4 linked regions of the Caenorhabditis elegans genome follow. The protein of the gene in region 2 purifies or fractionates together with the protein of the main gene of each other region. This does not show direct contact. Each region holds a gene or a part of one and is shown on either strand. Other genes may lie near its edges.

Region 1 (6,773 bases), on a different chromosome or scaffold from region 2:
TTCCAACAAATCAATCTTCTCCATTTTTCAACTCACTTTTTTTTTCCACTAACCATTTATTGCAGCTCCAATCTCTCCAATGAACCATCAATCATATTCGGCTCCAACACAAGCAGTAGCCGCAAATACGCATTTGATCTACTCAACAGAGCAAGGTGGAGCAGGTTAGTTAGCAATTGAATTGATTAATGAGCATCCAAAAAGAGCACCTTGTGTATTGAAAAACTGATTGAATGCCTATAAAAGTTATTGCTGATTTTGTTGCTGATTTTTGTACGGATACATTATTTGACCAAAAATTAAGATAATGCTAGGTCTCAGTCTAAGCCTAGCCTAAGTCTAAGCCTAAGCCTAAGCCTAACCTCTTAAAAAGTTACAATAAGGTTTTTCCTTGCGCTTGGAGCGCAAAAGAAAAGAAAAAGAGCTATTTAGACTTAGGGTGCCCAACTGGAATAAAATATAGGAAATCCTTATGACACACTTAAGCCTAAGGGCCCGAAAAAAAACTAGGATGCCCAACTGGAATAAAATATTGGAAATCCTTATGACACACTTAAGCCTAAAGGGCCGAAAAACATACTAGGATGCCCAACTGGAATAAAATATTGGAAATCCTTATGACACACCGGCGGTATGGCGCGGCTTCAGCCTAAATAGCCACTTTTATCGCGCGTCAGTGGGGGAGCTAACGCTCCCCCACTGACGCCAAGCCTAAGCCTTGTCTAATTTATGGTATCTAGTTATATAAAGTCCAAATTTTTCGTTGTGCTTCATGTGTAATTTTCTAAAAGCTTTTGTGTTGTGCATTGTTATTTTTCTTCGCTTTCAGTATCTCCAACACCACAAAAATCAATCGGAAGTATTGCTGACTATGATCCAATGAACGGACAATGGGGTACAGCTGCTGCTCAACCGAGAAATTCCGAGAAACTTGGATATTTGAGTAAGGATTTTGTTTTTTTTTTTGGCTTTTGTTTGAATGATTTGCTCATTTGTAATCCACACAAATTTTTTGCACGTTTTGGTACTTATTAATTCGTTTTGTGGAAGAAATAATCTTTTAAAAAGCTCATTTTGAATAATTTTGATCTGTCATTAATTGAAACTAACCGCTTGTTGCAGAGGCTCAAGTGGATAAAGGTCCGGCAAGATTTTGTGCGGATTTTGCAGGAGCTCCACCTCCATCATCAAATAGTATATCTTCAACATCTCCACATTCAACACTTTCTTCTCCACAAAGCACAATTTCACCGACTGGAAAAGCTGGATTTGCAGTTAAGGCAATTTATGATTACGCTGCTGCTGATAAAGACGAGGTAAATTTAAATTAGGTTTTCAACCAGTTTCACGATGAAAATTTATTCAACCATCTAAAATATTTGATTCCAGATTTCATTCCTCGAAGGTGATATCATCGTGAACTGCGAGAAAATTGATGATGGATGGATGACAGGAACAGTTCAACGAACTCTTCAATGGGGAATGCTACCTGCAAATTATGTTCAACCACATAAACTTCCTACCGGATTGCACCGACTTTCTTAATATTTCCAAACCCACGCACATTTTCTATCTCTCCATGACCTGCTCTTGCTCACACATTTCCCCTAAATGCTTCAATTATGCTTCAGGCTTCTGCAGTTATTTTTTCAACTTTCTGAAAATCCCACAAACGGGTTCTGTTCACCTTCTGAATGCCTTTTCTCCATTTGTTTTTCAATCTTCTAAAATGTTATATGGTGCTGAAATTTAAAAATTAAAAATTATAATAAATGAATTTACTATCAATTATTAGGCCATTGTCATAAATAATAAACCGTGTCTATAAGGCACATGAGAACAAAATATACAGATCTAAATTATACTAATCTTATAATATTAGAAAAAGTCTCCAGCATTTGCTCTATCTGCAGCTCCGGCTGATGTTGAAGGTCCGACGTTATCCCCTTTTCTTCGGATCATAGATTCAATCCCAGGTGTGCCAGGAGTTTGTGCTCCTTGGCTCCAAGATGATCCAGGTGTAGTAGAACCACGACTCCATGCAGAACCAGGAGTTGTGGATCGCTTTGAACTTGACGGTCTTGACCAATTCGACATGATTTTCGGCGAGGCGAAAGGAGATTTGTGAGCAGGTAACATTTTTAATCCAAGCTTCTTGGTTGCCAACTTTTGAGCAGCAGGAGATAATTGTGCAAGCTTGTCTGAGACTCGCTTGGATCCAAATCCAGGTGTTCGGCTGAAACTTTACCAAGTTGAAAATTATTTGAAGTACTATTATCTCGTTATAGATTTTAATACCATAGAGAAATATATTTTATAACTTGAAAAAATAAACAATTTTTAATTGAAAAATGAAAACTCACTGAGCTCCTTCAGCTGCTCTCATCGCAACTTTTCTCTTGTCTCTATATTTGGCCGCGATTGAATCATTCATAGATTGTGCAATTTTCTCCCGATACGGAACCTCTGGTATCTTGAATACAGGCGCCGCACCAGGCAACGAATGCTCTGTAACGTCAGGCGCATCAAGTCGGAATGGTGTTCCATCAATTTCTCCCCAAGTCATAAGAGGAGAATCCATGTCGTCAGGATTTGGATTCGGTGTTTCGAGTAATTTGAATGAGTTGGCTGGAGTTACTTCATTTCCCAAAAAATCAACTTTTCCGGCATTCGCGAGAGCATGGCTCACTGCTGCTCGAGTCATAGCTTCGTCGCTAGGCTTCAATTTTCCGGAGTCTGGAAACCTAGTGCCACGTTTATTTATTTCAGTTTGCTGTTTTCTAGCTGCATCTGCAATCTCTGCAGGTGTCAGAGCTGCCCCATCCGGATTGAAGAGTACAGTGTTCCATGCTTTGTATGCCCAATTGTCTACATTCAGAGGTCTATTGTCATCAGCATCTACAGCATGTTTTAAAGCCAACTGCACGTCAGCTTCAGCAGCAATTGCTTGTCGAGTCACCTGAAATTAGATTAAGTTACGAATTCGACGATATCAGATTTTATTCGTGAAAGAATATCTTACAAGGTTTTTGTTATGCTCTTCCTCGGCTTTATAAACCCAAGGACGACGTGCATCTTCTCGTTCCCTCATAACTTTCGCCAATTCCTCGAAGGAAGCATTGTCTTCTGATGTGTATTTGTTGAGATATGACGTTAAAGTCTCTTCTTTCTTCTTTTTTCGTTTCCGATTTAACGCCTGAAACTCTGCGAAAGATAGTAATGGATTGAAAATCATAAATCTAACCTCATTATCTCCTTCCTCATTAGCAAAAGGCATTGGAGATTGCATCCAATCATGTGCACTCGAAGTTGAAGCAGATGAAGGGCCCGGTGTATCTGCATCGAAAGATGAAACATCAGGAGCCTCAGTTGTCGAACGAGTTGTTATTGGGGTTCTGAAGCTTCTATCGGTCCGCACACTTCCAGTACTGCAGAACTTCATTTGAAGTTCTTTTATTTTATTAATGTCCTTATTTGCAACAGCCTCCAAATACTCTTTCTGTGCCTGAAAATAGAACTCATTAAAACAGTAAATATTTATAAATAATGATTATTTTACCTGCATTTTCTTGAGATGTGGAAAATAATCTTTTTCTATAATTTTATCAAGTCCAGCAATGTACTTCTCCTCGGGAACAACTTGGCGCTCAATTTTCTTAGTAACTAGGGTTTTCTGTGACAATTTCACTACTTTTCCCTCGTTTATTGATTTTGGCACCATCAGCTGAGCTCGCTCGTCATTTTTGTCGAACGACGACATTTTTCGAGTTCTGAAAATTTACAAAATAAAATTAAAAGCACTATTTTAAAAAGAAAAAACCACGAAAATTAGAAAAATAAAAGAAATTGCGAAATTTTATAAAAAATCGGAGTTTCGTAGTGCAAGTTGTTTAGCGCTCTCGTACGTAGTCCTCGTGGACAATAAACTTACTGTTAGAATTTGTTTTCTTTCAAAGATTATTTGATTAAATACATAACACTTCTTGTCCGTAAATTAATATATTTGATTTCTGGTTAATTTATCTTCAAAAACATTAATTGCTTTCAGAAAAGGTGATAATCTCGAAATGGCTTCAACAAAAGATGAAGTTGTGAGAATGAGCGTCGATGAGTACTGGGAAGATATTAAAGACGATTATCTTATACAACTAGCTAACACGGACCCTAATGAAGTCTATCCAAGCAATAACCCCGGACCAACAACTGCTGATGGCCAAATCAATTTTGAATGTCACTGTGTCGGTCATCTTGTTGGAAGCCCTTGTGGATTCGAGTTTCGGGAAGCGATTACGTGCCAAAAGACCAATAGTGATGGTGAAATAGAGCAGGTAACAATTATTTAGCTCTAGAGTTCTCGAAAATAAATAAATAATATGTATTGTAGGGAGCTTGCGGTAAGGAGTTGATGTCGTTCATGGAGTGTGTCACACGAACACAGTGTTTCGGTACCGGTGACAATGATAAAAAGTGATGATTCAATTATAATTTGTTCATTTTGTTAATTTATAAATAATTATTGTTTAAATACTGTTTTGTAATAATTATACTGTATTTTGTGCATTACAAAGAGTATTGCGAAACGTTTATTTGCTCTCTTTTCTTTTCATCTGTATATCTTCGAACACTCCTTCATTTTTTGGTTTTCTTTTCGCTGTTCGGATGTTCCTTTGGCCGGCTTGAAGTACTTTTCATATCTATTCTCCTTTTCCACTTGAAGTTTTAGTTGCTGTGGAAGATTCGATTCGGCCATCAGTTGTCAGGCTTAAATATGGTAAAAACGTTGCAGATCATTAATCGGCGGGAAGCGGGAATTTTGCATATTGTAGGAGAAGAAAGTATAGACCCGGTTTTACGGTAAAGTTCTTCTTCGCTTTAACAAATTGCTTCACTTGTCATACTTACGCTATTTTTGTAGGGCGCCAATGAAAGAATTTAGCGTTTCGAGTTCATCTATCAATTTGTATTTAAATTCTTGTGATTTTTGAGTGAGCATTGTAAGAAAAAATGATACTCAAATTCTCCGATTGGGTCAGATCAAATGATTTTCAATGTATTATAAATATTTTTTCAAGATCTCAATAGACGCCTTTTGATAACATATCCTAATCTAAATATTCTAATACCATATATCAAACAAAAATATCATGTTGACAGGCTGGATAGAGAGATTTTATACAATTTAAGAGATTCAGAGAAACGGGTGTCGGTTGAAGTGTAGGCTTTTCCCCTTAGTGTTTGCGCGCCCCCCTTCGCAAGCAGTTAGAGACGGTAGAAAAAGGGAAAAACCGAGAAGCTACTTGAAAATGTCTCGTGTTGAGAAAGGAAAAGATCGAGTCAAGAGAAGCAAAACTGGGGAGATATCAGCTAAATATACTCCCAGAACACCACTTGATATGAAAGTAGTAGTTTCTCTGTGAATTATGAGTGATTTCTGTGTTTTCCAGTGTTTTTTCGGCAGGTACAAGTCCAAACAGCATATTACGATGTTTAAAAAATATATTTTGCCTCAAATCGTACTCACCGGTTAAAGAGACATGACACGATTTTCCTTCATGGGTCTCGCCGCGAAATAAGTAAAGTAGAATGTTCCTTTAAACTTCGGGTACGGTTTTGAGGCAATATCGATTTTTTCTTCTTTTTTTGTTTGATGCTAAATAGAATAGGTTTTTCGCACCTTGAAACTGCAATTTCATGTTTAAATGTGTTTATTAGTTTTTTATAAATTTCCTATCACCCTACAAGAACAAAATTCATGAGCGCATTGAGAGAATTCTGAAATTTTTCAAAGATAAGATTTTTAGTCAAGCTCTCTTACATGCTCCTCTATACACTGATCAGTTAAAGTACTTTATCTGGTTTTTGTAGCGAGACCTGTCAACAGTGATAATTTAACTACCTCTCCTAACCCCCTCGAGATATGCGCACCCGCCTATTTCCCTCACTATACCCAGGTCGTTTACGTCCTCTTATCCGTCTGCGTTTCTTCTTCTCCACGCTCTCTATTCCCTCTTCTTCAATTATTTTTTGCAACCAGTTTTGCATCGTTCCACTAAATGGTACAAAAATTATTTTTCATATTTTTTGCCGTTTAGTTCTTCTTCTTTTCATAATTATCTTATCACCTTCAGAGACACGATGTATTTATGTATTTTGGGACTATCTTTGGTTCAGGGTGGGTTTTTTAACGCGCCAAAGTTGACAAAAGAGCTTGTTTTGGGAATATTGGCACACATCTTGGGAGAAATAAGACGCAGAAAGATCATGAATCGTATTCTTCTATTTCCACAGTGAGCTCCGTTTTTAGACAATTTCAGTGTGTGAGTAGTTTTCAAGGTTTCAATTTTTTTAAAATCTAACGTTAGAAAATGAAAAATAAAACAACTTCTGAATACTACATTGTTCAAGGAAATCTAGAATTCGAAGCAAATCTGTCCATTGTTTCCAAGACACACAAAAAAATCGGTTCATAATCCTTTCCATCGCCCCTTCTGATCATCCTTATTTAGGATTGGTTTACCTCAACCACCATGCCAATTTCATCGCATCGCAGTGTTCCTAGTCATTTTCGATGTGGTAGTTTCGTTTTGATCGGTCCAATTTAGTCTCTTATTTTCCTACTTACCAGTCACAATACTACCGACATCCCCATCGTCGCCACAATCGGTTACATAATAATTATCGTTCGCAATCGGGCGCCACTGCCGCCACACATTCACTCACAGACAGTATACTGTTGGGCACTGATGCTTGTTAGTGTGGTACACGACGACGAC
Region 2 (8,954 bases):
TATTCCACTTGGACCACGTTCTGGACTTATCAAATGGGTTGAAGGTGCTACACCAATGTTCCACATATATCGTAAATGGCAGATGAAAGAGGTGAGCATTTTATTTTTTATTATTTTTCCTGGGATGACTAAAAAGTTACAACAAACATAAATGAATAAACAATTGAATATTTTCAGAAAGCACTCAAACAAGCGACCAAAAAGAACGGAGAAACAGTTCCTGAAATCGAAAGACCCAGCAACATGTATCACAATATGATTCGTCTAGCATTCGCAGATCATGTTAGCATTTTCCAAAATTCAACTGTTTTAATTATTTAAAATTTTTAGAAAATCGATTCCTCCATCACCTCGGATCGTTCTAAATGGCCAGCAGAAATTTTGGAAGAAGTATTTGAAAGTCTCACAGCAAAAACACCAACAGATTTAATCAGTCGTGAGCTTTGGATGCGTGCGAATGATGCAACAACTTGGTGGTCGGTTACAAAACGATATTCAAGATCACTGGCAGTCATGAGTATGGTTGGATCAGTTTTAGGACTCGGTGATCGACATTTGGACAATTTATTGGTTGATTTGAAGTGGGGTCATGTAGTACATATTGACTACAACATTTGCTTTGACAAGGTAATGACTATGTACCTTTTTAAACAATGATAATTGGTGATTTCTCAACCTAAAACAATTAAAATTTAAAGATAAACATAAACTTCCAAGTATATTGTTTTCAGGGAAAGAATCTGCGTATCCCCGAAACAGTCCCATTCCGTTTGACACGTAACATGCGTCACGCTCTCGGACCATCTGAAATGTATGGTACCTTCCGTGAATCTTGTGTTCACGTGCTCTCAACTCTTCGTTCTGGTCATCAAGTTCTTACAATGCTTCTCGATGCATTTGTATTCGATCCGCTTGTCGATTGGACATCACATGAACATACAGCAACTTCTGGTGTCTCATTGGCACTACAATTGGCTGTTTATGGAAGTAATTGGAAGACAAAAGCTAAAGAAAGATTGACCGATGCGATGGAGTTACTCAATTTGAGAATGTCTGAGGTTCAAACCCTTTGGCTTGCAAATCGGTTAGACTTTCGCTCTTTTGAAAAAAATACATTTTTCTGATAGAAAATAACATCTTGTTTTACTTGTCTTTTTTCAGTGATGACCTTCTCCACTGGATGAAACAAGTGACCGAATGTCTTTTGATTGAAAATTCGATGCTTGGAGCAAATGCCATATATGCTCAGGTATGGGTCTCTTTCATTATATGCCATATGAACTATTTGAAGATAAAACCAAGTTAACCTATTTTATATTTTCAGCAACGTGTGAAAGCTGGAACGGAACTTCGTGAGGCTGTGACACGTCATCATGCACTTGCCAAAGAGCTTCGTCCATTGATAAGAGTAATTGGAAAGGAACGAGAAGAGTTTGCAGATTATTTGAAGTTTTACAAGCAGGCATTATTTGATCCACTTTTGAAGTTAGTTTTCTAAAAGCAATAAGTAACATTGCGAATTTTTTTAAGATTTAGTTGGTTTTTTTTAGATTTTAGTTAGTATAACATTTTTTATTACTGCAATATTAAAAAAAAAACTTTCAGAGGACACTCGGCTCTCCGTAACGAACTCGATATTGATACATGTGTGTACAATTTCAACATTGTCATGCAAAATATAGATAAGTAAGTTTTTGATTTTGAAAATTGGAAATCGAACTAATTCAACAATTAGATTCAATGTATAATATAATTTCAGTGTGTTTGGAGCACTCGTCAATCTGTCATTCACCCCGATTGAGACTATTACATCCCGTACTTCACAGCAAGAATTCAAACCACCTCCCGGACTTGAAAGTATATGGCTCATACCAGCCTTCTAAAAACTTTTTTTTTTTCAGATGTATGGGTTGTGAAACAAGATCAACAGGAGAATTCTCAAGCGCGTGAAGTTGTCCGACGTGTTGAACGGCGTCTCAACGGATGGCTCGATGGATCGGCAGGACCAGATAGGAAATTGTCTCCTCGCGAAGAGGTACTTTAAAAAATTTGGTTCGAAAATATTTGTGGCTAATATTATAGTTTTCTATATTTTCACATTTCACCATTTCCAGGCCGACATCCTAATCGCTGAAGCTACATCCACACCAAATTTATCTCAAATGTACGAAGGATGGACTGCTTGGGTCTGAACGAAAGTTGCCACGTGTCATAGTCCGTTCTACTTCTTCATAATTATCCAGAAGCATGCAACTTCTGTTTGATTTTGAAGTTCAGTTGATCAGGGCGTGGACTCACGATATTCGGGGATGTCTTGTATCACCTTCGTGATGTTTGTAATTCGCCGCTCGTTCAGCCTTCACATAAAACCGTCCTCCATCTGTCTCTTCCGCTATTTGTTCAGAAATCGTCAAAATTGGATAGTCGGACTATTTGACAGCTTCTGGAGCAATTCAACAATCGGTCTCCTCTCCCCAACCAAAAATTCTTTGACTTGAAGAGTCATTCCATTTCCAAAAACCACAATTTTTCTTAACAAATTATTCAATTAGTTGCATTCAACTCATACTCTCCCCCGATCACCACACTTTTCTCCAATATTCTTACCCATGTTTATGCCCTATTTCTCGAACTTCTAATACGTATTTTTTCATGTTTTTTTTCACACTACTCCCGGCCTTCTTCTGAATAGTTTTCCCCCGAAAGAAGACCATGCTTTTGTTTCTTATTTGGATATTACCTCGTTCCATACGCATATGGAAATGGAGATTAATAAAGGTTTTGGAATGGAATAGATGGTGATTTATTGAATTGCAAATGAGAATCTGTGAAGAAAAAGAAAATAATTTAGCCTACTTCCTGATCACCTGGAGAATTTCTTCTGATCTTTCGCCTACAATATAGTATACATGCGATTTCTGCAATTTCAGCCAACTTTCTAAGTTTTATGGGAACATTTGAGAAAGCGGGAAAAGGTTTTGCATGCAACAAATTATTGAACTATGCACTCGATGCGTGTCTCTATGGTTTTATTGCCTAAAATAATTTATTAACCAATTCGAGGAAGTTGAGCCAAAGAGCATTATCACGTTCTATTTTCTTGAAGCATATGACTTGAAAAATGACTGAAATTTCTGAAATTTGTGAAACGGTTAGTCCTTTGCTGCTTTTTAAGAACTAATTTTCAAATTCAGGCGTTCAAATTAACGTATCATCCAATTTATAGAGGTTCTTTATTTATTCATTTATTTGTTTCAATTTCATCAATAATTCCATTAATCTATTTTGTCATTTTCAAGCTTCCAAAAACAAGCTTCCATGGCAATCTTAAATTCTTATTCTCTGCCTATTTTGTATCAGTTTTCTTGTTTTCTGTGGATTTTGCCATTATCTCGGTAAGTGAATCAGAAATTAAAATGATTTTTTTGTTTCCTCAAACGTTGAAGTTTTTTTGTTTATGAACTTGTTGAAAGTGAATTTAGTTGGGCATTATAATTGACCGACCTAATAACATAATAAAAAGCACTTCAACATTTTTAGATATTTCAAAAGTACCAACCAATTTAAGTAAAGTGCCAAACTTTTGCTCAACTAAAAATGTTTAAATACAAAAATTAAATTATGATAAAAATGATAAAACTAAAATCATTTTTTGGTTGACTTCCAAAATTATGATCTTTAAAAGTTTGGTAATTATCATTTTCTTACAACAATTTCCGACATTCAAAATGTTTTGTAAACTGTTTATTAAGCACCATAAAATAATTTTGAACGTTTTTCAACTGGCAATTCTTCACTTTTAAGCAAAAATTCTGAAGTTCCGAAAAAGCTACATTTATGCGGTAGACGGGCATGAAGGAATTCCCGCCTGGTTACCTGATTTGGCAAAAATTAAACCATTTCTTAATTTTCAATCATTTATTTCTGGCATTTTTGCTACGGCAATATTTGCAGATAGACCAACAGTTCAAATATATGTAGATTAAAAGTTATTTATATTTTTAAAATTACAGCTATTTATTTCAGACGACTGAAATTTTAATTCCACTATTCTCAAAACATCCATGTAATTTATTGATACCTGATCAATATCTAAAAATCGGGAATACTACCGTATCAATTTTCATGTCTCTTTCCACATTCTTTCCTATTTCTATTACAATTGAACGATTCATTGCAATGAAAATGGCAAGAACTTATGAGAAGACACGTGTACGACTTGGTCCAATACTAACTGGATGTAATGTAAGAACACTTTATTTATTCTGAAATATAAATCTTTTTTCAGATACTTCTTGATTTGCTTATTGTGTTTTTTATTTATCGAGACGAAAAGTTTGATGATGGATCGATTTCCTTTGTGTTCTTTCCTAAAACTCTTGCTCCAAAGGTCTCTAGATCAAGTAGTACGATAGTTAATAAAAGACTTTTAGATGTTCACATTCTTCTGGGTTATGTTCTTTCTGAATTTAATCAATTTTACATTTAATTCATATCTCCTTCGACAAAGTATTCGATTAAAAGTCTCAACCAGTTCCCTTGCAACAAAATATCAACGAGAAGAAGTCGTTCATTCTACCAAATTTGCAGTTTTTGTAGTATTTTGTCATGTAATATTATTTGGATTTTATGTGATTGGAATCATGATTCTTAGATATTTTGGAAGTATTTTTATTCCGGATCCAGCTGATTTGATGGCAACAAGAGGAGCTTTTACTACAGTAAGTAGGGATCTATAAGAGTGAAGAACTGATTACGAAATTGTAATAAATAAGAAGTTCAGAGAAAAAGGGGTTTCTTAAACTAAATTATTCTAAATATGTAAATTTAAACATAGTCGGAGTTCAAATATAAAAACTTCTCTAATTTTTTCCGAAAAGTTCAAGCTTCTCATAAATTTGGCATTTTACCAAAACTTGGAATAAAAGGTGGAGTAGCGCCAGTGGGGAAATTGCTTTAAAACACGCCTATGGTACCACAATGACCGAATATCATGATTAAAAAATTCAGAAAAAAAAAAAAAAAAGATTTTTGAAAATTGAAAAAATCTCATTTTTTGCCTAATTCCTATTTGAATTACCGCCAATTGGATTTGTTCGATGGAGCGCGCTTGCACGTTTTTAAATTTATTTATTTTATTTATTGTTATTTTCCACCAATTTTTAATGTTTTCGGTGTATTTTTGCTTGAATTTTAGAGAAAAAGTCAAGATAAATGCAAATTTTCGATTAAAAAGCACGCTTGCAGGCGTAAATCAGTGAAATTAATTAATTCAGGTTCGAAATCGTTTAAAATCGTTACTTTGTCATTTTTACGCCTGTAAGCGTGCTTTTTAATCGAAAATTTGCATTTATCTTGACTTTTTCTCTAAAATTCGAGCAAAAATACACCGAAAACATTAAAAATCGGTGGAAAATAACAAAAAATAAAATTAATAAATTTAAAAACGTGCAAGCGCGCTCCATCGAACAAATCCAATTGGCGGTAATTCAAATTGGAATTAGGCAAAAACTGAGATTTTTTCAATTTTCAAAAAACCATATAGAATTTAGAAAATTTTGTTTTATTTTTTTATCATGATATTCGGTCATTGTGGTACCATAGGCATGTTTTAAAGCAATTTCTCCACTAGTGCTACACCACCTTTAACACATATATGAAGTTTTTCGAGTGTTTTGTTAAGAAATTCAGTCATTTTGGGTTATTATTCCTGTGTTTACATGTTTAGACATAATATCTACAGGAACTACTCCACATTTAAATGATATAATATTTATTTCCAATCAATGTTCAAACATAAACAAAACAATTTCAGATGATATCCTTATATAATCTTGTTGTTGGGTCTGTTGCAGTCTATTTGAATCATTTGATTAAAACTCGAAAATCTGAGGAAATAACCGGCACTGTTCGAATTCAAGCGACAGGAGCTGTTGGAGCACAAAACTACGAGAATGCAATATTCAACATTTGGAATTCTGTTTAATTTTGATTTATGGAATAAATTCATTTACTTGTTCCAGTTTTAAAAAATAAAGTAAAGTATACAATTTTTCAAGTAATTTGGTACTTAAAGATATGCTGCAAAAACCACCGAGTTGGGCAGTTATTAGTTCGTGAGTTTAAATATTTAACAAAATATTGGAATAAATTTGGATTACTGTAGTAGTAGCGTCTCAATAAATGCACGAAAAATTTTCGGTTACCGCGCGTGCAACAAATTTAAAAAAAAACCTACATTTAGTTGACCCCAACTTGTACTATCATTCACATTTACACTCGACCCTCACACATACAAACATCTGGTTCTAACGACATTCTCTTCTCATTTTCTTGAAAATTTATTTATTTTTGTCGTTTATTCCGTTTCCTCTGTTTTCTGTAGTTTCCGATGTTAAAAGAAAAAGTTGTATTGTAAATTTTTGTTTTTCAAAATATTAAAAATTCGGAATACAAAACCATCTTCTAAATCTCGTAACAATGGTCCTTGACCGGTGGTTCTCTCTCTTTCACAAAACATTTTGAAAAAGGTCATGTTGTAATATGAGGACTTTTACTGTAGTAGTGACACGTGGATGAGTCATATATTTTCTCTAACTGGCACTTTACACTAACCGGAACACTTTTTTGTTTCTTCCGTTTTTTGACACATTGATTTTTCTAAAGTTTGTTGAATAAGTTTAAATACTATTCTTGCGACTTGATCTCGTAATTAACTTTTTATCGTTATCACAAAGTATTTACTTATTACTGGTCCAGAGAGTGCGAAATGTTTTTTTCTTAGCTATGGCTAGACTGAATCAGAATTTAGATTGAACAGTTTTTCCGTTTTTCATCGATGGGAACTCACCCCCGTTAAATAGTTGCAGCCATGTTGTATCTAAATGTTCAATTCCTTACTGTAACTTGGAATTTCTTAATTACGAACATAAGATTCTTTCGCGTTTTCCTTATACTGTGGCAAATATGACCTATTGAGTGTGATTAAGTAAGTCCGATATCCCACTAGGTCACCTTGAATTTTTGTAGTTTACCCATAGCCTCAGTGTTCTGTTTGAATCGAATGAAAACCCAATTGCATTGAAATCGTTATGTTATGTCCCATCATGTTTCCAGCTTCTCCTAACAAATCCTTTAACCGTGAAATAAAATCTTTTTTCCTCTCTCTCTTCATCTTCTTTTCCAGTGTTGACATGTGTTTCAAAAGGCAATATAAACGGAGAGAGGGGATATTGGGTGTCTTCTTTTTCTCTTCAAAATGTACCGCCCACTTTTCCATTTTAATTAAACACAACTCGTTTTGTGTGTCAAATAGAGTATATGGGAAGAACGAGAGATAAAAGACGAAAAAAGGATTCATTTTGAGAAAAGGTTCTTGACATTTCCGGACAATTTTAGCAAGTAGACTGACACATTGCTTCCTCAAGTGAATACCGTAATCCTCTTGGAATTTCAATTTAGATGCACTTAGGATGCTCGAAATTATTTTGATCTCTATATCGCACAAGCGTTTTGCAGAAGTTCTTTTTCTTTAAAAAATCGATGCTCTATGTTTTCCTGCTCAGCAGTTTAGAAATTTTCAACCATTTTATTGTTCAAAACGTTCTTCACATGTTATCAATGTAGTAAACTTCATTTATGCTTGATTGAGAAATTTGGTTCGGTATCCAAAAATGAGATTTTTGAGAAAAAAAAGCCTAAAGAAAACCCAAATTTTGAAACAAATTTCCATATATCGAAATTTTGTGATTTTATTACCCAAGAATACGGTGCCCGGTCTCAACACGATTTAGATTTTTTGGAGAAGGATGCAAAAACAGAATGCGCATTTGAACCAGGAGTATGAGAATTTTTCGGTTAAATACCCAAAAGAAAACGGAGAAAAAATAAAAAATCTAAAATACTTCTGACTAATCTGGGTATTTTACTGCAAATCCGCATTCACGCACCTTTAAGGACTAGTGTAGCATTCATTTTTTATAGACTTGCAATTTCATTAAAATTTCATGTTTTCAAATTTTTCTGTCACTTTCCATCAAAACCCTTTTCTATCGTTATTGATTAGAAGATTTTGTTCTAAGTTGAGCTAAACTTTTATTGTCATTTTGGTGAAGAATTTCATCGGATTGAGTAGAGGAGATACATCCGTTGTTTCGTGTCTATTTTATGGGTTTCCTCTCTTGTTGTTTGAGGAATGAGTGAATGAGAAAACTTCTTGGTGGTTGAAGATTTGGATCTTATACTCTTATTTTCAATCTGATAGAATTGTTGTCTAGGGCTCCAAGTTGGATCTTTGAGATATGCCGAACGCTAGCAAAGCTTATGTTTAAAGGTAAATGTAGGCGTGACTTTCTTCAATGGAAATTTCTCAGAGAATCATCAACGAGAGGACTCCGCCTTTTATCGGTTCATATCTGAATTTGACATCTTCTTCAGTTATTAATTATTCGAAAGCTAATCGCCCAATAACATAAATGCATAGCTTTTTGTAGTCAATTTTTAGGTTCTTGAACATGTTCGGACAGAAATACAGAGAAATTTTAAAATTCTTCTATTTCTTACAAACAATTTATGTGCAATCCTTGTCGTGGACGCAACCTCAAAGCTGATTTCTCAGCTAAACAAAAAATCAATTTTTTTTTGAAAAATGTTTGAACATGAAATATCAGTTCTTTGTTTATCTATTTTTCAAATTATTTCTTTATTTAGTAAAACCTTTCAAAGAAAGTACGAGTAAGCAACACATTTTCTTTTAAAAAAATAAAATTAATTTCTCCAAAAAACAAATGGTTTTCGGGCCATATTCGCTCACCGACCCCCAAATCGGGTCTCGAGTCGATTTTTCTGCAATGGAATAATTCAATTATCTTCTCAAAAGATAAAATATGAAAATTATAATCAGTGCGAGATAATTTCATATGCAAATATCGAGATTCATTTATTGTTATTGCAAC
Region 3 (8,690 bases), on a different chromosome or scaffold from region 2:
CACATTTTTTAATGAAAGAAACAGAATCAACATTCGTTCTGTGCTATTTTTGAAGCAATAGGTTCAAGTTACATGAAATAGTACGAAATGGATTTTCTAATTTGTAGAAATTATAAGATAGCTCCGATTTCCTACAAAATGCAACAAAAAATGGAATGTTCCTAAGACACTGCGAAACTCATAACTGCACGGAAACAGCAATATGAACATTTGAAGTTGTGGAATTCACCGAATTAATTATATCCTACAAAATAGAGAGAAAAAAATTTTTCAAAAAAAAAATTTTACTCTATAGGCAGTCATCCCCATTTTTCTTCGATTCCTTGTTCATAATCGAGAACTAATGCATTTTGAAAAAAAAGCGATCAGTTGTAACTGAAAGCTGTCAAGTAAGCCTATTACAATGAAAATGAGCAAAAAAATTGACTTTGTGCTCTTCTGGAGCACAAAACTGTTCCATGTCGGCATGGGAATACATTTTTGTAAGTATGGGAACAAATGTATGTATGGGAATGTCAGCATAGGAACGAAAAAAAATGGAAAAAATGAGGTGTATGCATAGGAGTACTTCGACTACTGGATGTAAGCATGGGAATTTTGTATGCACCGGAAAAAATGTATGTATGAGAATGTCAGCATGGGAACGGAAAAAAGGGAAAAAATGAGTTGTAGGCATGGGAGTACTCGAACTACTGGGCGTAAGCATGGGAATATTTTGTATGCACGGGAGAAAATGTCAGCATGGGAAATGTGTGCATGGGAAATGTGAGCATGGGATAGATTGCCTAGAGGATATACGGTAATAATAAATTGTAATAAAAAAATGGGGGAGCAAAATGTTAGCAACCTAGCAATATCCTTACCCATAACCGATAACCACCCCAATTGTGCATTCTGGACCATATTTGTGTGCGGCAGCAGCCAACTGTCCTACTGTGTCGTTCATCACTGCTTTGATGCTCACTTTTGTGGACTGAAATCGAGTGTTTTTTGTTATTAAACTGTGTTATTACGGGAACTCAAAATTCTCTGAGAATGCGTATTGCACAACATATTTGACGCGCAAAATATCAAACTACAGTAGAATTCTTTAAATGACTACTGTAGCGCTGTTGTGTGTCGATTTACGGGCTTCCTTTGATTTAAATATTCTATCGATAAATAGGTGATTTCACTTTAAAAATGGAGCCCATAAATCGACAAAAGCGTGTTGTGGCACCCGGAGGCGGCGACCGAGCCTTTAAGCCGTAACGAAGAGTGACTCGAGACCGAAGAAAGATTATGTATAGTCTGGAAGGAGCCCTCTGGCAGTGCGGATGAATGCGGTGGTCTTGCTCTCGAGGAGACTTGAATATAGAGCTAGTGACAGAACAAATGTATAAATATATTAATTTATATAGTAATTATAAGAATTACAATAAAAGAGGGAGAGAGGATAAAGTAGGGGGAAGGCCTGGAAACTCCTTGGTTATTGGAGTTTGTCGGGTTCTCCTTGGATATCGGAGCAAGTACATGAATAATAGTGAGGGGCAATTACAAAGGAAAATGGGGGATGCGTCGGGAGAGAAGTGCCACGCACGACCGTTCGGCACGAGCGCAGCATCAAGACTGAAGTGGTGGCGTCCAAAGGCTGCGTATCCTGCCGTCGCTTGAGTCGCCGCGCAGCTAATGTCGGCTCCCCATTCCACAACAAAGCGCTACAGTAGTCATTTAAAGAGCTACTGTAGTTTTCGCTACGAGATAGATATTTTGCGCGTCAAATATGCTGTGCAATACGCATTTTTAAAACTTTTTATTACCGTAAGAAAAATTGCCAAATTTTAAAGCTATTTTTCGTAGAATCGAAAATTTTACGGTTTCCGATTTTAGTGATCACAAAAGGACAAATTTTCAAATTTTTTGATAGTTTTTCAAGAAAAAATCGAATTTTTACCATATTCATCTCGAGAGCCTCTTCCAATAGAGCTACAATATCCCGTTGCAAACAATCCTTAATATCGAACCCTTTAGTCCACCACAAAAGACGTGCCGAACGAATTGACAATAGTTCACATGGATATGAGAATACGAACCCTGAAAAGACATATTTTAATATTTTTTCCAGGAAAATCGGAATTTTCGGTGAAAAAGTTCGTACCAATAGGTAAATTAGCATCAACTAGTCCGAATTCTTGTAGGAATCGTTGGAGGCAATTGACGATGAATGTGAAAAGCTGAAAGTTGAGAAATTTCGCCAATTTTTGCCCGTTTTAGTCGGGGTTTTGAATTGAAACTTTGAAAATTTGGTGTCAGGTTGTTGTCCCATAAGCTCCAAACGGCGGGAAATGTTTTTTTGAAAATTTGTGACGTCACAGATTTTTCAAATTTTCGATATTTGATGATTGATTTGTTTTCTTGCCAAAAAAATTTCAGAAAATTTGAATTTCCCACCAAATGTTTTTTTTCCAGAAAATTTGAAATTCTTGCTAAAAAAAAATTTCAGAAATTTTGAATTTCTGCCAAAAAAATTTATTTTCAGAACTTTTGAATCCAAAATCTTTTTTTTTCAGTAATTCACTGCAACTTTTTCCTCACGAGGGACGAGGAAAAGTGGTTTCTAGGCCATGGCCGAGGGGCCGACAAGTTTCAGCGGCCATTTATCTTGCTTTGTTTTCCGCCTGTTTTCTTTCGCTTTTCATCGATTTTTTCGTTTTTTCTTAATAAAACTGATAAATAAATATTTTTTGCAGATGCTAAAACAATTTCCAAGTGAAAAAATTATGTATTCCAGTGGGCAAGCAGCGGTGAAAGTGGGCATTGTAATATGATGGATTACGGGAATACAAAACCTAAACTTTTTCTGAAACATGATTCATATGATGCTTAGATGCTGAAGATACCTGATTTTCATATCGAGACCGCTGAAAAAGTTTTGAGGTTTTCAAAATTCAACTTTTTGTGCGAAAATCTCGACTTTTTCACCGAAAAAGTTGAATTTTGAAAATCTCAAAACTTTTTCAGCGGTCTTGATATGAAAATCAGGTAATTTCAGCATCTAAGCATCATATGTATCATGTTTCAGAAAAAGTTTAGGTTTTGTATTCCCGTAATCCATCATATTACATTGACCACTTTCACCGCTGCTTGCCCACTGAATACATAATTTTTTAACTTGGAAATTGTTTTAGCATCTGCAAAAAATATTTATTTATCAGTTTTAATAAGAAAAAACGGGAAAAAGCTGTGAAAAACAAAAGAAAACAGGCGAAAAACAAAGCAAGATAAATGGCCGCTGAAACTTGTCGGCCCCTCGGCCATGGCCTAGAAACCACTTTTCCTCGTCCCTCGTGAGGAAAAAGTTGCAGTGTTTTTAGCTGTTTTTTCGGAAATTTTCAAATTTTTCGCACAAATTTTGCTTACCTGATCACCGGTTCCCTTCATAACATGATTAGCTACTATATAATTGACTGTTTCATGCGTGGGCGTCGTTCCGGCTCCGTTCATTGTGAGTAACATTATTCGAAGATTCTTTCCCGACAAATCGATTGCCACGTATTTTCCGGTTTCTGGAATTTTTTGTATGTTTTTGATTTTTCCTTTAAAAATTAAGTTTTCTGAATTTTAGTTTTTTAATTTGTTAAATTTTATAGTATTTTTCAGATTTTTTTTTGACATTTTTAGGAAATTCTTTAAAAATTGAGATTTTAGGCAAATTTTCATGAAAATAATGATTTTTTTCGGAATTACTAAGTAAAATTATTGCATTAACAAATGTTTAGCGATTTTTTTCGCGATTTTCTGTAAAATTTGTCAAACTTCAGTGAATTTTTTAAACTTGCACTAACTTTGTAAGTCTTAACTTAATTTTTCGACTTTTTTCCTGATTTTCAAGGAATTTAATATATTTTTATAATTTTTTACGCAATTTTTTGAATTTTTTTTTCGATTTTCAGCTTTTTTCAATAAAAATCAAAAATAAACAAAATTTCTGAAATTTCACATTTAAATCAATTTTTTTTAGAGTTTTTAATCCACTTCGTAGATTTTTCTATAAAATTACAATTAAAATTAGTTTTTTTTTTCAATTTTACCTATTTTCCATGAAAATTCGTAAAACTTTTGAATCTTCAAAGCAAAATTTGAATTTCTTTGTCGTTTTTAGTAAATTTTCACGATTTTTAATTAATTAAACTAATTAAATTCCAATGGTTTTTTTCTCGATTTTCAGAAATGTTTGATTAATTTTATCAGTTTTGTTTTTTGGGATTTTTCGAAATTGGCTAAAATCGACGATTTTTTATGTTTTTTTTTTAGATTTTTTCATTAAATTTCCATTTTTCTGCATTTTTACCTGTTCCATCTGGCAACGCTGGTACATAACTCGGCAACATTGCAATCGATGAGCCTTGAGTCTTTGCGAGACCCATTTTCATTTGTTGCTCCACTTTTTCGCTGATTTCTTGAAGTTGTTCACGGTTTAAACGGAATTTCGCGAGGATTTCCTCGACTTCTGGTGGTAGAACCTTCATTTTTGTGGAGATTACTGTAAAATTTTGGGATTTAGGAAGGTTTTTTTGAATTTTTTGAGGAAAAATAGGGGGTTTTCTAAGAAAAATTTAATTTCAAAAACCGATTTACAGAGAAAATTGGCAATTTTTTTAGAAAGTTTAAGAAAAATTGACTTTTTTGGAAAAAAAAATTCCGGAAAATTGAATTTTTCGTGATTTTTCAGGATTTCTTGTGGAAAAAAAATATGAGAATTCGTGAAAATTAGGTTTTTTTCTGGAATTTTCGGGGAAAAATAGGATTTTTTTGAAACTTTTCTTTGAAAAAAAAAGTTGTTTTCTACATTATCAGTATTTGTTTTAATGAAAAATAGGTAGTTTTAACAATTTTCAGACAAAAATTTACTATTTTTGTAGAAAGAAAAAATCGAAATTTTTGGTAAAAATGTGCCGGAAAAACTGAATTTCGTCGATTTTTGGAGTTTTTTTTCTGGAATTTTCGAAAAAAAAATTGAATTCTCGTCAGTTTTGTATTTTTCTTTGGAACACTATGCATTTTATTGCATTTTTCAGTGATTTTTCGGTAAAAATAGGGTTTTTTTTCCAAAAAAAAACTTTTATAACCATTTTTAGACAAAAATTGATAATTTTTTAAAGAAACTTTTTTAAAATTTGGCTTCTGTGGAAAAAAAGTGCCGGAATATTGGATTTTTCAGGATTTCCTCGAAATAGTAAGTTTTTTCTGAAATTTTCAAAAAAAAATCGAATATATTTGTTATTTTTGTATTTTTCTTGGGAAAACTGTGTGTTTTATTAGTAATTTTTCGGTAAAAATGCGTAAAATGTCAAGCGAAAACGACGAAAAATTAAAATTTGAATTTCTCGAAATTTTCTGAGAAAAATACGTTTTTTTTCTAGAAATTTCGGGAAAACATTAATTTTTTTTTGAGTTTTTGCAGAAAAATGGTAAAAAATTGCAAAAATTCTACAAAATAGCGAATTTTCACGATTTTCTGTGGAAAAAATTGTTTTCTGAGATTTCCGAAGCTTCTGTTTAAAAAAAAATAATTTTCGTGAAAATATTGATATTTTTGAGTTTTTGCAAAAAAATCGTTAAAAAATTATAAAAATAGCGTGTTTTCAAGATTTCCGGTGCGAAAAAACAATTTTTTAAAAAGAAAAACGTTCAAAATTTGAAAAATGCCTATTTTTCACTGCAACTTTTTCCTCACGAGGGACGAGGAAAAGTGGTTTCTAGGCCATGGCCGAGGGGCCGACAAGTTTCAGCGGCCATTTATCTTGCTTTGTTTTCCGCCTGTTTTCTTTCGTTTTTCATCGATTTTTTTCGTTTTTTCTTAATAAAACTGATAAATAAATATTTTTTGCAGATGCTAAAACAATTTCCATGTAAAAAAATTATGTATTCAGTGGGCAAGCAGCGATGAAAGTGGTCAATGTAAAATAATGGATTACGGGAATACAAAACCTAAACTTTTTCTGAAACATGATACATATGATGCTTAGATGCTGAAATTACCTGATTTTCATAACGAGACCGCTGAAAAAGTTTTGAGGTTTCCACAATTCAACTTTTTTGGTAAAAAAGTCGAGATTTTCGCACAAAAAATTGAATTTTGAAAACCTCAAAACTTTTTCAGCGGTCTCGTTATGAAAATCAGGTAATTTCAGCATTTAAGCAGCATATGTATCATGTTTCAGAAAAAGTTTAGGTTTTGTATTCCCGTAATCCATCATATTGCATTGCCCACTTTCACCGCTACTTGCCGACTGAATACACAATTTTTTAACTTGGAAATTGTTTTAGCATCTGCAAAAAATATTTATTTATCAGTTTTAATAAGAAAAAAACGGGAAAAATCTGTGAAAAAATAAAAGAAAACAGGCGGAAAACAAAGCAAGATAAATGACCGCTGAAACTTGTCGGCCCCTACCACTATTCCTCGTCCCTCGTGAGGAAAAAGTTGCAGTGTTTTTCGGTTAAAAACCTCGAATTTCCGAGATTTGTCGATTTTCTTCGGAAAAACTATGTACTTTAACAAATTTACAGGGATTTTTTTGGAAAATTTCTGGAATTTTCCAACTTTCTCGCAAAAAATTTAAAATTATCGATTTTTTGATAATTTATCTATCAAATCAAGTGGCAGAAAGGAGAAAAACAATAAAAAGGGCAGTCCGCACGTGCAGAATTGAAGAGAAAGAGGACCTCAGCCAGGGTGAGAGAGTGTAGAGGGTGTGGAGACGCAGACACTGAAAGAAGGGGGTTCAGAGATGTGGAGAGTGCAGAGATGTTGGTGTGATGAAGACTTGGCAGTGTGCCAAATGATATTTTTTATGGAATATGATGCAATTGTGCTCTGTTGATAATTTTTGGGGTGGCAGGATTCTTTTGGGGGAAATTATTGATTTTTTTTTTCTTTAAATTTGATTTTTCTATAAAAAAAATTGGATTTTCTATAAGAATTTAGATAAATAATAGTTTTCTTATATTTGCTTTAATGATTTTTCGGCACAAATAACAGATTTTTTCAAAAAAAAATTTTTTTTTACTTTTTGGGGATTTTTATCGGAAATTTGAAAAAAACTGAAACTTACGATTTTGATGCTTCTTGAAACTATTATTTTTCGAAACTTTTTTCAAAAAAATTCTGGAAATTATTGATTTTTGTCCTAAAAATTTTTAAAACCCCGAAATTCTATCGAAAAATAATTCAACATTTTTAGATTTTGCGTGAAAACTCTGTTAGAATATCGACTTTTCTGTCAATTTTCAATTTTTTTCCGCAAAAACTGCCAGAATTTCCTCAAATAGTTCATTTTCGATTGAATTTCCAAATTAATCCGAAAAATCGATAATTTTTTGATTTTTAACTGGATTTTTCGATAGAAACGTTAACTTTGCTGACTTTCTAAAATTTTTACAAAAAAAAACATTTTAAAAAACGTTGGAAAACACATAAAATTCGAGTTTTTCGGCTGGAAATTGGGGAAAACACAAAAAAAAACAAAATGTTCTACAGTAACCTTGAAACTGCGCGTCGGGTTAGATGCATTGATACGCAATTGCGTACAATGCATTTTACTTGCCGCGCACACTTTTTGGAATTATTTTCAGCAAAAATTGCAATTTTTCAAGTATTTCAGCGAAGAAATTGAAAAAAATAAGATAATTGCAAAAATACAAGCGGGTTTTAAAGTTTTCTTTTTAAAAATCTCAAGTTTCTCAATAAAAATATAGAAAACATGTTTTAAAACAGGAATAAGCGAAAAACTATTATAATTTATTGATTTTCGCCTCCAAATCACGCTAGAAAATCAAACTGATGATCATGACAGAAAGAAATGATCGTAAAAATTGCGCTGACGACGTCACGCGACCCGCAATAAGACACACGGAGGCTAAGCACAAAATATAATGTGTTTTTTTTTCATTTGAATCTTTTTTTCAGACTTCAAAGTACGGCGTGTTGATATTGATGATCAGAAGAAAAAATCAAAACAGAAGAAAAAACAAGGACAATATAATTAAGAAAGTTGTTTTTCAGAACTTTGATCTTTTAATCTGTGTTGAAAGGTTCCCTGAGTTGTTTTTGATTTAAAATCTTAAAAAGTAGAACTAGAAATTGTTATTTTTATCAAATTATCAACAATTTCCCATTCGAATTCTCCAGGTTTCCATCAATTATTATTTTCTCGTGATTAAATCCACGTTCCTTGGCGCACGAGAAACACGCCAGCTATCGTTTGCTGGCGCGTTTCTCGTGTTGACGCGTTTCTCGATCGTTCCAACTTGCAATTTTTAAATTCAATTTTTGCCGAAATTCACTCAATTTTTAGCGATTTTTTTCGAAATTTCTAGATTTTCAGCTGAAAAATGACCACGGTCCGCCAGAGAATCGATACACAACATCGTGACGCAATTGTAAGTCGGAAAATCTGAATTTTAGCTAAGAAAATCTATTTTTTTTTTTTAAATTCTGAAAAATTGCAGCACGACGCTCAGCTCAACATCTACGGAAGCCGACTCGCCACGTGTGGATCTGACCGTCTTGTGAAGATTTTTGAGGTCAGGAAAGGCGAAAAATCTTGGATTTTCTGCAAAAATCCCAGAATTTTCATAATTTCAACGCAAAAAAAAATATAAAAATATTACAGGTTCGCCCAAATGGCCAGTCATATCCGATGGCG
Region 4 (8,535 bases), on a different chromosome or scaffold from region 2:
GAAGTTGTTGATTAAAAAATCGTTTTCTTTTAGATTTATGTTTGAAATATTCACATTTTAACATTGTAGGGGTTCGAAAATGAGTTCTAGATTTTTTGAAACGCGACAAAAACTCAGTTTGCGCCCCTTATGGACTCAATATACAAATCTTCCGAAAATTTTTTTAACATTTTAAGAATGACATTTGGTCATTTAAGCATCATATGACAAGTTTAAAATGATTTCCCCGCTGGCCGAACCCCACTTTATAGTTAGAACAACAGTAGATTCAAAATTTTGTTATTGAATTTCATGTTAATTTGAATCAATTTTCTAACGAAACTTTTTTTTAAAGTTAGAGAGTGAATATGAAAATAAATATTCTAGAAAAAATTATGTCATTTTAAACGATGTTCAGATTATCAAAAAATTTTATAAAATAATGCAATTTTTTGTTTTAGCGCATAATAAAAATAAGAATGATAATTTTCAGGTTTACTGACAAACATTTACTAAATTTACCTAACTTTTTCAAATCGATAGTATCAAAACGACAAATACAGCTGAATTTGCTTTAAACAAATTTTGTAACTTTAATCATTATTATAATTAAAATTTCTTTTTTTTTAATCATTATTATAATTAAATTTTCTTACAGTTCAAATTTTTACACATTTTGATGTCGAATGAACAAAAATACTGAAGAGAATTTTTGACAAAAAATGAAAATCAGATTGACTTGAAAAAAAATGCATACATACATAACAACCCAGTTAAAAGTTTAGAACTACCTGCATGTAGTATTTGCAAGTGCAAAACAAAAATGAGAGAAATGAAAAGGCTGCTCAAAAGCAGATGTGTTCCGCTCTCTATTCGATTTTTTGCTTTTTAGCATGTGCAGCTATGATTTAGAAAACTCATTAAACGTTGAAATCAACGAACCAAATAAAATTTAGCAACTTTAGGCATATTGAAGTAATATTAACAAAATCACAGGTGGATAAGAAAAATGAACGCTTTTGATACCTGTCTGCTGTAACAAAAAACAATTTAGAGGGAGGGAGAGGGAAAGAGAATTTTTGCAATGATTCGAAATCAAATCTCATTTGCCAATCTCTCTATCTCGCATCTCAAATACCTGACGAATGAGATGATCGTCTATTAGTTGATCATCACTGCAGACGAAAAAGTGTACGAACTTGCACCGAGTACAATTTTGAAAATTAGTTTGAATAGTTGTGCCATAGGAATTGTAGAAATTAAGAAGCCAGAAGTGTCGGCATTACCAAAGTGACACCTTAGAGTCGTTTTGTGTGTCAACTTGGGCTCGATGAAAGTCTTGTGTAGTAAACATCGACGATGGCACGACATTTATTAATGAATGCGGACGGTCGTCAGTTGTTCTTTCGTGGACGTCCTTTAGCCGTCATGATGAATGTGTGTAAAAAACCTTTCAGCCAGTGTTAAGAACAAGAGTCGAGAAGAGGTAGCTTACGTGAAAAGCTCTAATGCAACGTCGGTGGCTAAAGATTGCTTTTTCCGTTACCACAAGAACAACTTCGTTGTAAACTTGTCAGATTTTCTGAACAGGGATCGCTGGGTTCAAGAACAGATACGAGTTGGAAAACATCATGAGAAACGTTCTGCATTTGCAAGATTGTTTTCTACACGACGGGACAACACTCGATAACCGTAAAATTTATTGCAGGTTCGGAGGAGTGTGACCTCCCGGAGCATTCTTTATAAGCCCACTCATTTCTACCAATCTACGAAGAGTTCATAAAAGCTTTATGGGAACTTGAAGAAATTGAAGAAGTGATGAATTGAAGAAAGAAAAAGTGACAAAATGCTTGAAGCATTATAGTTGTAACTTCAAAATTCTTATAAGAAACTGTAGCTTCCGTTTTTCTGATTGTATTTATCAAAACTTTAGTTGATACATAAACATATGTATAAATTGTAAGTGACTGAGATTTTCAACTGATGCCTACGTTTTTTTTAAATTAATTTAAGATTATAATTTTTAATTTAAGTCCGAAAGACCGTTATAATAATGTTTTAAAATTTGTTTCACCATTTCCAGTCATTTTTTAGTCTGTCATGATTGAAAATAATTGACATGCATTTCTAAAAATGATAATTGCAGAGAGGCTCTATCTCGGAAGTGTGAAAAATATTTAAAGGACCACAAAACTTCAAATATTTTTTTGTTTCCTCCAGAAAGTTCGACCTTTATATATTCTTATCAGCAAATATAAAAACATGTAATTTGAAAGTTTGCTCGTTTTTAAAATCAAATTTGAAAGGCTTTTTAAGAACCTGAAAAAATGTGAAAAATGACGTTATATGAAATGCATTATCGTGTGGAAAATTATATACTAATATGCATTTGTATAGGGTTTCTGAAAGTAAAAAAAGTTAATTGTTACTGATTACGTTGAAATAAAAATTTTGAAGATCCAATGACTAAAAAAAAGTTTAAAAGGATGATCGTTTTTAAGCATTAAGCTCTGCGGATTTGGGAGTTAACTTCCTAATGGTGCTCCCAGTGGGCTTCTTGGGCAAAATCAAAAATAAATACGCTATCAGGCCAATTGGGCATTAGACTTGTGCAGCTCAGTGCTGTTTTGTGCCAATCAGTGTCGCTTTTTGGGCGCACTGGCCCGCGCTAGAATGGTAGATTAAACTGTCCACAATCTCTCCAATTAAAATAATTTTTACAGCACTTGTTCACGACATAGTGTACGATAAGTTTTAAAGTTGATTTTTTCAGCTTATTTTTTCTTGTGATAACATTTTAATTAGTGAGTATTAAAAAACTTTCAAATAGCTTTCAATTTGAACAAATTCCAGACTGGTAGTAAGAAATCTGCTAGAAACTTTACTTTTTGGCTCCATTCTTGTAAAAATTCAACTCAACTTAAATTTGAAAATGTAATACAAAACATTTTTTTTGATGTCTTAAAACTGGGAGAAAAATTGTCAAAAAGAAGACTTCAATAACCGATTTAAACTGAACAATTTGGAATTGAACAAAATCTTTTTAGTATCAACCAGTAAAAAGTTACTACTCCATGATGCTTGCGCACTAGAATTTTTCAGTGTTCAACATTGCACGCTTGTTTCGCCTTTAGCATTCAGCTGATGGATCAAAATTTCAATAACTGCAAATTAAACTATTTTTTACAATTTTATGTTACCTAGCTACTTGAAAAAAACTTTTGATCGCAACCGAGATATTTTTTTGAAGAGAAAATACGAAAAATCTAATTGGGAATAACGAAAAGAGCTCAAATTATTTTTGTACCAAAAGTTTTTCAATTTTTTTGAAATTACATGTGATTGTTTTTGTATTTGAATTTTGTTAGGCTTAAAAAAATAATTTCTAAATCTTAGTTAAAATAGTATTGACATAATGGTTCACGTGCTGATCTGAATGAGAATTAATCCTACATATATAATGCAATAATAATGTATATGTTAAAAAATTAATAAGAACATCACACTGTCACTGTTTCTTAAATTATTGTTCAACATATTTATATTTTATTAGTTTGTTTAATCGGCAGGCGTATTTAAAGTTGAATAATCGAAAATAAATTATGAAATAACTATTTTTCGCAATATTAAAAACTATTGAGAAATATTAACTTTTTCGCACTTCTTGCCTTCGGTATTAAAATTTTATATATTGTTGTAAATATTCTGAAATGTATTTCATTTACAGTTGTCAATCATATCAAGTTGTATTGGAATAAGTACCTTGCAATAACTGCAAATTTAAAAGTTTCTCACATTTAATTCATGATGTTTGATGATTTATTTTCAATAAAATTGTCCTTTTTCCAGACTATCATGAAGTGCACAAATCACTGAGCTTTCTCATTAAAAACATCAGAACAATTATCCAGAGTTAATAGTCTCCCTCAATCACCTACATCACGTTTTTCAAAAGACTCCAGCCTGTTTAATAGCCTTCGGCGTTCTTTTAATCTGAAAAAATAGCGAGCGAGATGAGGAGGGCAGTGGTGGTAACCCAAGCCTCGAGTATTTTACAAGAATGAATCTTACTGACACCTGACGAAGCCTTCACAACAGTCTCTAGTAGCGGTGGCTACTATCATTTGGACTAGGTTGTCTCCTTGAAATTCTTCCTTGAAAACAGGATGACTAAATTATGTCTTTTACTTTTACCACTAGTTTTCCTAGTCTCTTATTCGTTTGCAGGTTTGTTGAAAAGAAATTTAAAAAGTGTTATTATTCATAAGAATGAACATTTCAGAAGAAGAAATAACCATTTCCATTAGCCCAAATGCAAACCCAGTTCAAAAACCAATTGGTCACCAGATTTCTCTTGTGTGCTCTATTAAGAAGACTGATAGTAATGGAGAAAAACCAGGAATGATCTGGAAGAAACATGGTGGACTAGACCGGTATTTCAAGATCCCTATTTTCCTATTAAATATAACCCAGCTAATGTTTTAGAACTGGAAACGTCGAGGTCAAAAAACTAGACGACTACACTCTCGGACTTATTATCAGAAATTCCAGTGTGGAGGACAGTGGTGTGTACTATTGTCAAGCTCAGGTTGGAAGTAAAGTATACATGAACAAGATGGATGTAATCGTTTTTGGTAGGTCTCAATGTTTGTCGAGATTTTGAAAAAATAATACACTTTTTGCAGAGGACATTGTCTTCCGAGACAAACAACTTCACTTTGGTCAAGTTCTAGCGACTGCTTCGGTTAATATTTCATGTGAGGTATCCGCCAAGAAAGACAGTGTCATAACTTACTGGACTCGTCACGGGAAGCAAATCCTGGAAGGTTTGTCTTGAGGAAATTTGTTAGTTGAAACAAGGTGTTTTCAGGTGGTAAGCACAAGTTCTACAGTAGAGGGTCTATTCTGGAAATTCAAAATTATCAACCAGAACAAGACGCAGGACAGTATACATGCGAGGTAAACGAAAAATATAGGATAAAAACTTGTAAATTATCTTAGAATGGGCTTAGATCTAGGAATGACAGCCACTGAGCAAAAAGATATAAAATTACCGTAGTCTAAGTCATCAAAAAGTGAGACAATGGCGGCAGCCATCAAGGGTAAAATTTATGAGTTGCGTCGACAAAAGGTGCTATTTAATTTTATGGTAATTGTAGGGAAATGTTCTTTTGTGTGTAGAGCTGGTAACCGACAGATAAATACAGATAAACCTTATCAGTAAACTGTGAAACTTTTATCAAAAGAGAAGTGATAGTTTTTTTTTGAGAAAAAAGGAAGGGATTTTTGACAAAATATCTCGGTATTTGGCGCTTAATTTCGGCAAAATAAATCTAGCCATAAAGTTGGCGAAGTTTGGTTTTTTTCTTGAATGCTACTTAACCAAGTTCAATATATTTGGGCAAAATTTTTGAAAATAATTTTTTCTATGAATATAAAGGGAATTGAAAGAAGCCTATTGAGGTGCTTCGAGTTTTTCAAAAAATTTATTAAAAAATTACGGTTATTTATGATCTTTGATAACTACCCAGTATAAAAGCAGCGTATACGTTGTAAAACATTAATATTAACAATGTCTTTGTTCGAAACTTGTCACAGAAACTGGCTAAGTATTGCAATTATTATTAAAATATTGTACATATTTTGTTTGTCACATAAATATTTTTATACAAAACAATTCTAATGTGATTTCAAAACACAATGGGATAACATTTTACCAAACGTAAGAGATAAACATTTTAATATGATAACATTTACTTTTTTGAACACTCTAGTTTGTTGAATATTTTTGATTTATTTTTTTTTGAGGTAAAGAACTTTTCAAAATTCTAATTGCAAAATTTAAAAGTAATTAAAAATTTAAAAAAAAAGAAAAAATTTTGTTAATTTTTTTAAGTTTTCTATTCCGTCATTATAGCTTATTTTATGTTATTTAACATTTTGAAAAGTTAAAAAAAAACTGTTTCTTTATTATAGGTGTTCCATGTAAGCAGCGGCTCATCAAACACAAAAACTGTGACTCTTGGAACCACAGGAGAGAAAAACTACGTGGCATGCCAGCAGATGTGTAACAGTTTTTGCACTGATGTTCACAACAAAGTATTTACCAACAACTAAATTTTGAAGTGTATTGATTTTTTTCTCATTTTATCATTTCAAACATTTGAGTCACTGGAATAACTTTGATTCTTTTCAATAAATTATTATAGCTAAAAACATTTTTCTGATCGTGTTCAACGCAACAATATGAAAAAAAAACACGCTAATAGAAAGAAATATTGAACAAATACGGCATTTCTCATGAATGTTTTTGTTTCCAGTAACAAAAGTTCCCTACAAGCTCACGAGTGCTTGGTTGAACGCAATTTTTTTCCCAGGACTGTATGCATAATATATATTCTCGTACGAATATTTTATGCTACAACAAACATAAAAGTTGGAAAAAAAATAATAAAATATTTCATTGGTCCAAAAAACAAGACGAGTATCATCATGACGAGGTTGGTGTTCACTCCCACATACATCTTTCACCACTGTCCGGATAGATACCTTCGGCTTTTTGCCGAAGGTAGTGATAGCATTTGGTGGCAGCCCATATGGCGCCTATACAAATTACGATTCCCAAATATATTGATATCACCATTAACATTTGATCTGAAATGTAAATGAGATTGCGGGAATATGTGGCAAAGAGATTCAGTTGGATACGATGTTATACATACAACTCCGAACAATTCTTTTATTATTTTTTTTTCAATTTTGCAAAAATTCAGATGAATGATGCAGTACTCCATTTTCCAACAAAATTAAATGGCCTTTCACAGTTTGAAAAAATGTAATTTAGGATAATACAAAAACTAATCACCGAGAAAAAACCAGTTCAATTCGCAACAAAAAAAAAACGGAAAAACTCAAAGTAGCGTAGGCTAATAAGCCATTTCATATGTTTTGCTGAAACAATTTGAATAAAACTCATAAAAATTGCACAAATGTTAATAACTATAAAACTGTACAACAATTAAAAAAATTATTTTAATTTTGAATCGTTTTATTTAAGACGTTACAGTAGATAAATCAGTTAAGCTTGTAAAAAGCTGGAAACAATAACTCTGCTAACTTGAGAAAATCGAATCAATTGAAAAAATTTTTAAAGTGACCATTACCACCCGTTTTATGCTATTTAAAGCAAATTTCTATGAACGACCTTTCAAATTTCAAAAATCACGAAAAAAAACCGGAGAAGAAAAGAAACTCGATGCAAAATCAATAACTGGGAGGAACCTGATTTTTATTTTCCGGTTTCAACGGGTTCATTTTGGTTTTTTTTAACATCTATTTTATGCTGATTTTTCATTGTTTTGACTGTTATTATTAAATAAGCTGTCGTTAAATTCCAATTCAATACTTCATCTTGTCATTCGAAATTATTTAGAAACATGGGCTATGAATTTCATTTTTAAATAACAATCCGACTTTTCAGTTAATCCTCATTCCCAATATTTCCAAAAAAAATTCTGAAATCATACCAAATTTTTGATAAAATTTCTGCCTTCGAAACACAATTGTATAGTAGAGAACATAATTGGCAAGAATGAAGAAACAGACGCATTGCGTTATCTTAAAAACAGCAATTAGTCTTCAGAAATGTCAAGAAATCGCAGAGAAAACTCACTTCAGAAACTATAAATGGTACAAGTAATGAAGCCTTGTCATAATAAAGACCAAACATCATGAGAATGGCCACAACCTGCAAAAATCGAATATTGAAAACAATTTGTTGTTTGAAAAGAGAAAATACATACTGGTGAACTTATATTTATTGCACTCAAAAAAATTGCAATTTAAAAATAGTGGTTGCAATATAATTGTCATAAATTAAGTTAAAAATTCATAAATAAAAATTCGAAAACATACCGTATTCGCAACAATCAGAAAAATATCTAGCCATAAGTTGACAGTGTAAACACCGAAAAACATGCATATTGTAGAAAATAAACATACTACAAGTGCCGAAATCGACACGTAGAAACAAGCACGCTGAAAATATTTCAGTTAACACAAGTATTCTTTGAACAACATACTTACTTTAACGTGCACATCTCCTCTACAACACTTGTAAGAGCTTCCGTCGTCCTCACCCCCAATTTCATCCTCGAGAATTATCCGAGTTCCTGAAATGGATAACTTTTTGGAAACACTTTAATTTGTTTTTCTTACAATGTTGGATGAGCTCAAAGTGTTTGAAATCCGCGGGGACGGTATAATTTTCTAGATGTATCATCATAATGTTTAAAAACTTGATAATTTGAGTAAATTTATGTTTGCTTGTAACTTTTAATCAATAAACCAGGTTTCAGCCAAATAATCGTCGTAGATTAAATAATCCAATGCGCAACTTTTTATGCTCAAAAAATCGTCTTCGAATAATGTTCTACTGATTTTTTTAAAGTTTTACATCTAAGTCATGTTAATAAAAAAATTATATAAGTTTAACTTTTTTTAAGGTAAAAAACAAGCAATACTACATACAAGAGTAACTCTTATCATTGTTTTTTT

The links.
Region 1: the proteins of srb-15 (region 2) and F42H10.2 fractionate together in Caenorhabditis elegans (co-fractionation; one large-scale study listed by BioGRID). This does not show direct contact.
Region 3: the proteins of srb-15 (region 2) and hxk-3 fractionate together in Caenorhabditis elegans (co-fractionation; one large-scale study listed by BioGRID). This does not show direct contact.
Region 4: the proteins of srb-15 (region 2) and zig-6 fractionate together in Caenorhabditis elegans (co-fractionation; one large-scale study listed by BioGRID). This does not show direct contact.

What each region holds. Positions count from the first base shown.
Region 1 is NC_003281.10:8,486,578-8,493,350, forward strand, and holds F42H10.2 (coiled-coil-helix-coiled-coil-helix domain-containing protein), read left to right. Parts: upstream 1-4,042; 5' UTR 4,043-4,067; coding exon 4,068-4,328; intron 4,329-4,384; coding exon 4,385-4,471; 3' UTR 4,472-4,527; downstream 4,528-6,773. Other genes in the region: LIM and SH3 domain protein F42H10.3, read left to right, coding at 66-164, 830-943, 1,123-1,316, 1,390-1,545; Splicing factor ESS-2, read right to left, coding at 1,879-2,242, 2,364-2,959, 3,023-3,196, 3,245-3,505, 3,560-3,760.
Region 2 is NC_003279.8:6,894,787-6,903,740, reverse strand, and holds srb-15 (Serpentine receptor class beta-15), read left to right. Parts: upstream 1-3,121; coding exon 3,122-3,151; intron 3,152-3,194; coding exon 3,195-3,395; intron 3,396-4,026; coding exon 4,027-4,245; intron 4,246-4,288; coding exon 4,289-4,390; intron 4,391-4,433; coding exon 4,434-4,721; intron 4,722-5,815; coding exon 5,816-5,986; 3' UTR 5,987-6,006; downstream 6,007-8,954. Other genes in the region: Serine/threonine-protein kinase smg-1, read left to right, coding at 1-91, 178-282, 331-627, 732-1,084, 1,162-1,249, 1,325-1,485, 1,606-1,686, 1,760-1,857 and 2 more.
Region 3 is NC_003282.8:1,495,694-1,504,383, reverse strand, and holds the start of hxk-3 (Phosphotransferase), read right to left. Parts: upstream 4,523-8,690; 5' UTR 4,509-4,522; coding exon 4,331-4,508; intron 3,546-4,330; coding exon 3,400-3,545; intron 2,214-3,399; coding exon 2,138-2,213; intron 2,074-2,137; coding exon 1,934-2,073; intron 974-1,933; coding exon 864-973; intron 1-863. Other genes in the region: npp-20 (Protein SEC13 homolog), read left to right, coding at 8,377-8,424, 8,494-8,568, 8,658-8,690.
Region 4 is NC_003284.9:5,184,576-5,193,110, reverse strand, and holds zig-6 (Zwei Ig domain protein zig-6), read left to right. Parts: upstream 1-4,033; 5' UTR 4,034-4,145; coding exon 4,146-4,206; intron 4,207-4,261; coding exon 4,262-4,412; intron 4,413-4,464; coding exon 4,465-4,613; intron 4,614-4,664; coding exon 4,665-4,805; intron 4,806-4,849; coding exon 4,850-4,938; intron 4,939-5,955; coding exon 5,956-6,096; 3' UTR 6,097-6,195; downstream 6,196-8,535. Other genes in the region: T03G11.9 (MARVEL domain-containing protein), read right to left, coding at 6,488-6,633, 7,506-7,596, 7,652-7,726, 7,894-8,016, 8,065-8,150. UniProt on the Caenorhabditis elegans protein: Probably not involved in maintaining the position of ASI and ASH head neuron cell bodies and ventral nerve cord axons of PVQ, PVP, RMEV, AVK and HSN neurons.